Linked DNA regions of Drosophila melanogaster. The protein of the gene in region 2 interacts with the protein of the main gene of each other region in a pairwise test. Each region holds a gene or a part of one and is shown on either strand. Other genes may lie near its edges.

Region 1 (6,484 bases), on a different chromosome or scaffold from region 2:
CTGCTTCAGATCAGCAAACTCCACAGTGGAGGCCTGCGAAAAGTTGTCCACGTTCATCTGATCGTTCGAGGTTGTCTCCTGCTCATCGGATAGAATCCGCACCGACTCCTCCTCGGTCACTGGCGAGGCGGAGCAGGATTTCTCATCGTCGGGCATTTGCTGATCGTCCGCCTGGTTGTCATCTGCATCCATCTCTTGCAGCATGCTGTCCAGTTCGGTGTCCGAGATCTCGTCCATGGTGGAGCAGAAGGTCAACGGTTGACTACGCCTGGGATGCTGCTCCTGTGGCAGCTCCACATCCTCTTCTTCCGTTTGTACTGGCTGCTCCATCTCTTTAGGGACCGGTACTTCCGCAACAGATGCTGGCTGAAAATGTAACACCATTATTAATAAACTATACTATATGTCAAGATAGTTTATAACCTTAATTGATTTATGAAGCTGATAATATTTTTAAACTAATGCGCTACACTTATTAGTCATTTACACAAACAAAGTAAGGTAATAGTACTTACTAAATTGGCCAATGGGACATCTATGCCGTTGGTCATTTCGGTTTCGGGTTCTCTACTGGGCGACGATTCCTCCGAGAGCTCCTCGAGGACCTGCCCGAGAACAGACGATGCGGTGACCTCCTCCGGCAATAGGGATTGCGATTCTGTGCCGGACGCAGTGATGGAGATGGATGACAATCCAACTGCTAACTCCTCTACAGTTTGTTTGGATTGCGTTGGCGGTGGAACAGCCTGATCTTGGTGCTGGTCCTCATGCTTGACCTGTTCCGGCTGTTGATCCTGTTCCTTTGGCTCCACCTGAACTTCACTCGTTTTCTCATCTTCGGGGGGCGTTGCTAGCTCCTCCGAGTGACTGCCATTGCTCACGGGCGACGGACCCGACGAGAAGGTGGAACAGGATGAGGTGGTCAGCGATTCGGAGGACGATACTATCGTCTGGCCGTTATTTTTGGACGCCTGTTCGCTGAACTTGTGGATGTCGTCTTCGTGTTCCGCCTCCGTTTGCCAGTCGTAGCTGGGTAATTGGGCATCCACCTGCAAGGACTTCACATTTTCCCTGTAGTCATCCAGGCTGTTGAAAACCTGAGAGACGCCCACAAAGGACTTTCCAGACGCCGGTGTTGGTGTTACTCCCGCAGCTCCCGATACTCCGGCGCCAGCTCCAACTCCACTGATCGATGCACTTGCTCCGTCGCCCAGAAAACGGCCAGGATTTGCACCTGCAGCTGCTGCTGCCGCTGCATTTCTACTCAGCTGCTCATCGGCGGCAATGCTCAGTTCCAGATTGTCCAAAACCTGATCAATGTCCACCAAGTCCATGGCCACCAAATCCGCAGAAACCTTAAATAAAATTGAACCAACCAGGTTTATCTGCTTGCATTTTCACAAAAACGCAAAAGAGAAAAAACAACACAAAAAGATGTGGAGAAAAAACGGTCTTGTGATTCATACCTTTTTCACACCTCGAATATAGTCATAACAAGGCAATGAGGAAAACAAGGACGTATTCGCCTTTAATAAGCAATATTAAGCACCTGCAATCACCTTATTTACTTTGTTTTCTTCTCGCTAATTTATTAACAAAAACTCGGTGACGAAAAACATTGTAAGAAACTGCCTAAAAATAGCCATGGAAACAGTGTTGCAAAGACAAAAAAAATTAAGTCAAATTAGCACCTTTCTCATTTAGTATTTTATGATGCTATCTCGTTCTATCTTTCTCTATAATCTGTTACTGTTACAATGTTAACATAAACCGTAACACCTTTTCAAATTTGAAAATAATAATAGGTAAAAGCTGTCGGGTCCTACACGAATATGAATGCTTCAATTGTTCAATATTAATGCGTATGAATTCAAACAAATCTATTAACATTGGGTCTGGGAAATTTTAGCCGCCAGTCTGTGTTTTTAAAAAAATGTTGGGTTGTACAACTGAACTAACAGTATCACAGAATAACAGTGAACGTACGAGCAACCGAAACAGTGTAAATCAGTGTAACCGCAGCTTAGCTCAAGAAAAATACTATAAGCATTTAAATATGAAATCTTGCCGATTTAAATGAATTCAAAATGTTAATTATATTTGATTGAATTATTATTTGCCTATCAAACATTTAATAATTCTATAATAATATCTTAAGCAAATCATGTAAACAAACAGTAACATAAGAATAAAACCAAAAAAATTCAAGATGTTAAAGTAACATTTTTAATCGCGAAATTGTAACAGAAATATATAAATTTTAAATGAGTACGCGTTTCGGAGTGTCTATTTAAGTCATCACCCAGCTAAGCATAAGAATTGGTATTTTTTAGGAAATGCACAGCTTGGATAATTGAGTCGTTTCTGCATCTGGTAACATTGGCCAAGTCATTCGAAAAAATTTTACGGAGCGAAGAAGGCACGGTTACGTCCGGATTTTAGCGCGATTTCGTGTCTGTTGTTTGGTCGGCACTCGAGTGTAAAGAAATTTGTACATCCCCGAAAAGAATCGCGAGTGCAATTTTGTAAATACGGAGAGGAAAAGGTGCGCAAAATAGCAAAAATAAATGCAACGAAAATAAACGCAGCAAAACAACGGGCAGAAAGATACGAAAAGAAGAGGCAGGCGAAGCAGAGGAGAAAAGAGACACATAAAGAAGCCGCCATAGCGGCGTTAGTGGGAAAGAGAGGGCGCGAGAGGAGACGGAGAGCGAATACGAATGCGTATGGTGTAGTTGTAGTGGTGGGCGGTCGTGTTTTTTTTCGTTGAAAAATCTCTGGATTCAAAGGGAAAAACAGAAAAACAAAAGGAAAATACAGTGTATTATACGAAAAATTTGTTAAATTTTATGTTTTTAAAATTATAAATTACAAAAATCGAATTCGATTAAAACACCCACACACACACCAATACACACAGTAGTTGCGCTGTTGTCTCCTCTTTATTTTTGTGTTTTTCTCTCTGCGTAAACGTTTTGTTTATTACCCCCGCTCTTCTACTTCCTTTCTTTGATTTTAGCCGCGCGCGCATACGATAAATTGTTGTTAATTTTACAGTGTGTAATGCTTAATTAATACCCTGTCTCTCCAACCAACGCTATCTCTTTTGTTTTGCAATTCGATTGATAACACATCGGGAATAGTGTGTGTCTGGAAAATAAATAATCATAATAATCATAGTTTCATGTGTGTATTTAAACAGCGTTCTTCTAGTGTGAAACCAGTTTAAAAAGCTGCAAGAAATATATATAGCTCAATATATATATTTATATATGTGTGCCGCCGCCAGTTCTAATCTTTAAATCAATAAACAAAACTGGAAGCCATTAGCTGAAATCACAACAACAGCAACCGCAGAAGAAACCAACGGGGAAAATGAAGCCAAAGCAGAAGATTTCCGTAGAGCCGCTATTGCTAGTCGCAATTCTCATCGGAGTTCTGGTAGCCGCCACCCACGCTCAAGATCAGGTAAGATCTCAAAAATTACACCCGAAACTACCAAATGTTATTAGTTTACGTTGAGATAAGCCAAAATCAATGGCCAACTTCAAGTTTACCTGGCCAACCGAAATTTAGCCGACTTTGTGATAATATTAATGTGGCTTTAATGGCCATTGAATGCTTATTCATATTAATACGTCACACAGCTTGATTAATTACGAATGGGTCATTATTAGACATTGCTATCCTTTTGTAACGACATACACATGCCCACCAGTTTGGGCACAAAGTGGAGCATTTAAGTGGCCCCTTTCAAAAGCATAGTTGCGTAAGCCCATTGCTGCTTGTAACTGCTTACCAATTAAATCGAGGCAGATTCAATCAGCAATCCGAACTCCCAATTTTCGCCACCTTGAGAGGGTTCGGAACTCCAAGTTCGGTTCGATTTCTTGTTCACTTCAGTTGTTTTTGCGGTTTGCGGTTGTCCAATGCTGTTTCTGTTGTTCTTGTTGTTCTTGTTGTTGCACTTATCATGCAAAATTCGGCAGCCCCAAGGTGGATACATGTGTCATATACCCATGTACCATGTGGCAGAGGCTTGACGGGCAACGGGCATGGGCATGGTCAATCTCCAAGGCATTGCACTGAATGCAATTTGTGGCTGCAGATAATGAAGAGGAAAGGCCTCCATGTCCCGATGAATGTAAGCCGTAAGCTTCTGGCTCCATTGCTCCACTCCTTGGCTTCTTGTAGAAAAGACATTAAAAACGTCTGCATTGCGAACGCATAAATATGGCAGTGAACTAGACGCACAGACATCGGCACTGTGCAATATATATATATAGATAGTTATACATAGATATAGATATCGATATAGAGGACGAGGCGGCTGCTGGTCAAATAAGGCTGCAAATCCGAAATGGTCATCGACTCCAACGCATCGCATCCAGCCATCCATCGATGTTGTCGACTGTTACCCATTAGCGATGAGAGATGAGTGCCGCCACAGAAACAGATATGCCGCCACGTTCATATGGGGAATGCTACTCGGAGATATAGAGATGATTCAATTTCCGACGAATTCCTTTCTATTCGTCTCTCGTGCTTTCTTTAATCACCTGCTCTGCCCAATGAGATCATTTGGTGTCTGAATGTGCTGTTTTGAAAATTGTTTACAGATTCGAAACTGGCCTCTTTGGTGTTTTCCACTCATCACACAGTATTTTTGTCATTAATTGAGTAGTTTAATTTAGATTTACCGATTGTAAACTCTGCTTTTAAAGGGTGTTAACTTAGCAAAACCGGTTAAATTAATGGGCAAGTTGTGTAAATTGCTTAAAACAATTGCCAAGTTGACATTTATGTATTAGTGAAGGCAAAAGTTGGATTTAAACTGCATAATTTCACTTAAATTCTAAAAACTAATTTGAAGACTTGAGTTGGATTACTTATCAGCTTTTCTTGTTATCTAGCGCAATTACTCACATTAAGATTTATTGGCTGATAATAAAACCAGCTAATGAATCAGGCCGCAAGCCCAAAGGGCAATATTAATGTCTCCTTCTTATCTTCACCAAGTATTTTATGTAATTTAGCACATTTATTACATTCCGTGCTTTCTTGTTAGTTAATTATCCGAAATTAGAAGTTCTATTGAGATACGGTAAAAATTTAACAGCCAGTTTTCTTCATTTTCCGCAAAGAGTTTACAGTTGCATTTTCCACAGCTCATCACTGGAAAGCACTTCTTGATTTGGGCCTGGGTTCTGGGCCAGTTTTTGATACAACTTCTGCTACTGGTCACGATGATCTTTGGCATCGTCTGTTGCCAACAAAAGCATCCGGCTATTGCCAATTTCGATGGCTGTGTTTGCCTCTTTCACTGCCTGTTTGTTTGTTTGTTTGTTCGCTTGCCTGTTGGTTTGTTTGCCTTTATTGGTGTGTGACTTATTGGCCCGAAAAATTTCTACACACACTACTTGCACATAAATAGTGCGATGGCCTTTTACCCCTTCGCAAACGCCCGCCCGCCCCTCTCACCCATCTAAAGCAGTCTGTAATCTTGTTTTTGCCGTTCCTTCCATCTTGTGTCCTGTTTTTGGTGTTTGTCACTTGTTTTTGCCAAAATTGGCATTCGTGGTTATGCCCCCCTCCTCGGCTCCTTCGTAGCTCCTTTCCCTGTCGTCGAAAACATTTTGAGAACGTGCCCGGAAAATTGATGAGCAGCACGGCGAGAGATGGCTATAACTTCACCGGAAAGAGGGTGCAAGTTTAATGGTTGTGACTGCTGCAAGTGCCACACTATCTATTTTCCGTTGCTAGCTGTTGCCTCATTTACAAAGTTGGCATAAATCCATTATCTATGGCCATATCCTAATGTCCCTTAATACGAGCGTAAAAACATTTTAATTTTTTTTTTTTAAACATTTTAATATAACAATTAGGATATAAAGGTAGTAGCATTTTTTTGAATGTAACTGTAATTAAGTGTGGAAGTTAGTAAGGGATAACACTCGGTTGCATCCTCTCACCTCAAAGGTGTGGAAACCCAATGTACCACGCCTCCTTTTGCATTGCTCCCTCCCGTTTTCCGCATCCCTACCAACTGCCTGCTGTTTGTGTTTATTTTCCTTTCTTGGAATACCGATTCACATTGCCAGACGGCGACAGACAGCGATAAGGTTCTGCCGATATTGGGTTTTCCATTCGATCGATTCTGTGGATCTGGCTACCTAAACAACAAACACTTCCTTGAACTGGGTAATCAAATTCCGATTTTTGTCCGCTGTAGATGGTGAAGGAAATTTGAATAAAAGATTTTTTTAAGGTTTTATTTGAGTTGCAGATTTGATCGTTGCTCTGAATCCAAGTTGAATCATTAAAGTTGCTGAAACGCAAAGATTCTTTATTTGCATATTTCTTTAAATTGTTTATCCTTAAATATTTACATTTTTATTTCTTAGATTATATAATCTTTTAAAATCTATATTATTATTTGGCTTTGATTCTTGCTTAGAAGCCCATCCCACAATTTTATTCAAAT
Region 2 (4,826 bases):
GTTCATTAATAAGCATACGCTGCCACCGATGGCAACTCGGCGGAGCAGCCGCCACACAATCTCTTTTTAATTCCACGCACGTGTGGCCACCTTGGTCTTGGACTTTTGGACTGATGATGGTGGTTCGTTTTCCGGCTCTTACTGGGTGTGGATGCTGCTCCCGCTCGCGTTGCATTCGATGCTGTTGCAGCTGCTGCTGGTGTTGCTAACGGATGTTGTCGACTAAAAACAGCTACCTTCTGGCGGCTGTGCCAGCTTCAGGTTCTCTTTCATGGTCATAATCCTACGGATTTCCTGCAGCATCGTTTTTATATTGTACTCGCGACTCCATCTGGCCAACATCTGAACTGATCTATGATCAACCTGTTGCAAATTCAAATATATTAGCATTCGTCGTTGTTTATATGCCACATTCGATTGCTTGCACTTACCACGCCATTGTTCTGATTAATGCAGTTAATGTTTACTTTAGTTATAAACCGGAGCGTTGGTGGCTCATCCGGATAGCGTTCGCCGCACTCGATCTTTAGTGAATACATTCGATTCTCGAATGGTGTCTGTAATAAACACAAGAGTTTGCCATTAGCTTTAAATGATTCTTGAATGATTCAATACTCTGTGCACTTGCGGCCAGAGTGTCGATGAGTCAGGCGCTCCCATTCCCCTTAGTCCACCGCTTCTCCACTTTAGTTGCCAATGCAACTAAACCAAGTTGGGGCTCTGTTAGAAGACCCTGCCACCCAAACTCCTCAATGATTCATGCGGCGGCGCGCGCAACACTTCTAGACTATACAAAAATTAAATGCAAATTTAGTTTTCCGCCGCTTTCCTTGCTAGTAATTCAAGGCTAGAGCCTTGTTTTCCCCAATAAATGCATGTAAAGTGGAATATTTTCTTGTGAATAAAATAAGAATAAATTAGCACGAGCGTTTCTATACCTATATTTTCTAGCAATAATCCCAGATTGCAGCTTGTAGTTTTCATATAAGATTAAAATCTAGCAGAGGTACATTTTATATTCATATTTACCACATAAGAAGCTAATGAAGCCAATGACTTTTGAAACCCACACTCACAATGAGTTGCATCAGCGGTGCTAATGAAATGCAAATATTATCAAATTCCATCGCACTGAAGAGATAAACTGCCTTCAAAGATACAAGGTGCTATCCAAACTGAATGGTCTGCGCAATCTAAGCGATAAGATGTCAATAATCCTACAGAATTGCCTAATAAACCGGGCTTATCTGGTGACGTAGCGAGGAAAGTCCAATCGATATGGAAACTTACTCTAGGCGGACCGATGATCATGCCGATCCAGTAGGTGAGCGTCATGTCGTCGTCGTTCTCCAGGCCCCACGATATGGTGCCATCGCCCACGCCCTTCTGGCCCTGATCCAGCTCCTCCAGTAAGCGGAAATTCCGTGGCACCACTGCAATGTGAAACGGCAAAGAGGTGAGAACTCGATGACATAATGCATTTTCACTGAAAAACTTAAATCTTTAAATATAGTCATTAAGTTAAATGTCAGCTTGTTTTTAATTTTCTGGTTGGCGGGGCAAGAAAGTACTTAGCTTTCTAAATAATTATAATCACGGGCTCGTACAGATAAGATACATATATATAATTATAAACGACAGTTTTATCTATTTAGAAACAAACTAGTAAGGACTGTTCTACACATTTTCTATGGTATAAACCATTTTCGGTGATATTTCGGCGACTTTTCCTCTCAGTGTGGGGTCATATGGGTACGTGTTGTTGTTGTTTTGCGCTCTGCTTCTCGTGTTGTTTTTGTTTTCGGCCGTGTGACTTTGTACGCATTTTCGTGCAGAGAACACAAGTCAAAAAAAAAAAATGCGAAGCGCAGATATTAAGCACGATGGGCGCGGGGGGAGGGTGTGTCGGCGGGGGCGGGGCGAAAGCATAATTTCTGCATTTGCAAAAACAATCCAGGCAAATGTAAATGGCAGCTAATTTAATTAGAAAAGACAAGGCAGCTTGCAAAAACGCAAGTGTGCAAAAAATAAGGAAAATAAAGAAAAAACTTTAAGTATGAAGGCAAGAAGAAGAGCGTGCGCGAGCGAGCGAGCGAGAGCCACATAGTGAGGAAGGAGCGGGGATGATATTTCGGAAAATGTCAAGTCACGAAGCCCAATTGCAACGGAGTTTTTCCAACGCCAAACGCGGCCAAGGAAAATTGCAAGAGCAGCGTGGTCCGCTGGCGAAAATAAATTTCCATTCGCCCATTTCGCTTTTATCGGCTTTCGTCTTTCGCCCTTGCTTTCGTCTTCTTTTTGCCCGTTTTGCACCACACACACAATCACATTGCGGTCCGCTTGTCGGGTCCGTAGCGGCGGAAAAATCGCCGCCGGTCAGCGGGAAATGCAGAAAACGGATGGCCAACAACTCCGGGCGTGCGGGGATCGCATTTTTAAGCTGCCAAATTGCTAATTTATCAATTTTATTTCTTACCAACGCCGGTACTTGATGTATTCGCCATTGTGGTTAATGCTAAGTGCTAAAATACCGTAAAAGTGTGCTAACGCGTTTCCAGTGCGATGTGACCAGTGCGGTTTAGGTTTTGCTTGGCTTGCTTAACAACTCTGATTTTTACACCGTTAACAGTGGTAACACTTAACAGCGCCGTCAAGTGCAATATTTGGTCACTAATTAAAAATCATTATTTAACAATATATAGCATATTCTCTGAAAATAAAAAGGAAATTTAATAGTTGCATTAGCTGATAAGTTTGTCATAATATATGGTCATACCAAAAACGGCAGCCAGCTGCTCTGCTATCAGTGCTGTTAACTAACATGACACTCTGTCCAATGTTAACGCGTCAGCTTTTTTAAAAACAAACCAATTGCAACCGATTAAATATTAATTTGCGAATATTCTCGGGCCCATAAATTAATGCGGAATCAATAGGTGTAACGACATGGAGAGCTTGTACCACCAAACCAACAATGTGGTAAAGGACATCGAGCGCGATTTCCAGCGACTGAGTCAGCTCAGTGCCCAGGAATCGCTTGACGTGGAAAACGGCATTCAATTGAAGATTACCCAGGCGAACGCGTGAGTTCTACAATGATATATATTATCCCAAGAGGAGTTTGTATTATTAAATAAATCTTTTGTGTTTAGAAACTGCGATCGGTTGGATGTGCTGTTGTATAAGGTGCCACCTTCGCAGCGACAAAGCTCCAAACTTCGTGTGGATCAGCTGAAATATGACCTGAGACACCTGCAGACATCACTGCAGACGGCGCGGGAACGAAGACAGCGACGGATGCAGGAGATCTCCGAGAGGGAACAGCTGCTGAATCACAGATTCACGGCAAACAGCGCGCAGCCGGAGGAAACGCGCCTGCAATTGGACTACGAACTGCAGCATCATACGCAGCTGGGTAACGCCCATCGGGGTGTGGACGACATGATTGCCTCGGGCAGCGGCATTCTCGAGAGCCTGATCTCGCAGAGAATGACGCTGGGCGGAGCGCACAAGAGAATCCAGGCGATAGGCAGCACACTGGGTCTGTCCAATCACACGATGAAACTTATTGAACGCCGGCTGGTCGAGGATCGTCGGATATTCATCGGAGGAGTGGTGGTCACCTTGCTTATCATCGCCCTGATCATCTATTTCCTAGTGCTCTAATCTGAAGACATCGCGTTTAGTTGAGTTTAAATTAAATGTACTCTATTTTGTAAAATGTTAAATTAACAATTGATCAATTGTGGATTAATCCTCGGCCTCCAGTGAGATATTGCTGCCGAACCGCTGGTACAGATGAGCCTTCAGCTCGTCCATTTCCGCCTTGATAACCTTCGCCTTGGCCTCCACGCCGGCGATCTCCTTGAGCACCTGCTCCTTGGTCTCCTTCAGCATGTCCTGTGTTTTCTCCAGCTTGTGCGAGAGGAACACCTCGCCAACCAGGAACGGTATGTCCTCGTCCTCGTCGAACAGCTCAATCTCCTCCAGCGCCTCCTCCAAGCTCTTCAGCTCATTGCGCTTCGTTTCCAGCTCCGCTTTGAAGTCATCCATGCGGGCGTTGTGCTTCGCAAAGCGGTTGATCCGCTGCTGATCCTCGAAGGAGATGTGCACGTCATCGTGCTGAAAATGCGATTTAAAATATATATCATAAATTTCAATTGAGCAGATGCACAGAAAAAACCATGACAAAGTGAGGTTACTTTTCATCTTAGTCAGCTGTCCTTTGATGATTCACCCATACTCACGTTCTGGAACACTTTGTTCGTGCCGCTCGCTACTTTTGCTGCCATTTTCCCGTTGGTTTTAATTAATTTAATAAATAATTTATGATATTTTACAAACAGTTGCTGTTTTCGGTGCTTCGCAAAAAATTTTATTTGTTTAACATTTTAGTGTTGACAAACGGAGAGCAGTTAACAGAGAGAACGAGGCGTTAGGCTATTTTACAGAAGTGATTCCGCTTTAGCAATTTATTGTTATATCTTCAGCACTTATATTTATTTAAATAGTTATGTTTAATTTTTTATGACTATGTTGAATATAAAATATATAAAATATTTAATAAGTAGGGTTAATAATTTAGATATTTGCTACCTTTAATTTTGTCACTTAACAGTGTAAGTAACGTGTAAAAAAAATGATTTTGTGTAATCTTACAGTGGAGTACATTTAAAATGTACATATCCTGTGTAAAAACATTTTCAAGTGCAGTTACTTTTTAAAAACAAAAAAAATTTGCTAAAATTATATGTCCTATGCTTACATTTAAATCGAACTATTTTATAAATAGGTAAAATCTAACTTCCTTTAATTTTTTTTTAAAT

The links.
Region 1: the proteins of Membrin (region 2) and Sdc interact in a two-hybrid assay, tested with the Drosophila melanogaster proteins (one large-scale study listed by BioGRID).

Annotation. Positions count from the first base shown.
Region 1 is NT_033778.4:21,477,075-21,483,558, reverse strand, and holds the start of Sdc (syndecan), read left to right. Parts: upstream 1-2,382; 5' UTR 2,383-2,545; intron 2,546-3,180; exon of another isoform or gene 3,181-3,202; 5' UTR 3,203-3,375; coding exon 3,376-3,468; intron 3,469-6,484. Other genes in the region: Sara (smad anchor for receptor activation), read right to left, coding at 1-366, 516-1,334. UniProt on the Drosophila melanogaster protein: Cell surface proteoglycan that bears heparan sulfate. Required for axonal and myotube guidance, is a necessary component of slit/robo signaling and is required in the slit target cells.
Region 2 is NT_037436.4:5,363,653-5,368,478, forward strand, and holds Membrin (membrin), read left to right. Parts: upstream 1-2,802; 5' UTR 2,803-2,946; coding exon 2,947-3,083; intron 3,084-3,152; coding exon 3,153-3,666; 3' UTR 3,667-3,729; downstream 3,730-4,826. Other genes in the region: Uev1A (Ubiquitin-conjugating enzyme variant 1A), read right to left, coding at 223-363, 432-557, 1,291-1,433, 2,477-2,504; Pfdn4 (prefoldin 4), read right to left, coding at 3,751-4,122, 4,248-4,292. UniProt on the Drosophila melanogaster protein: Involved in transport of proteins from the cis/medial-Golgi to the trans-Golgi network.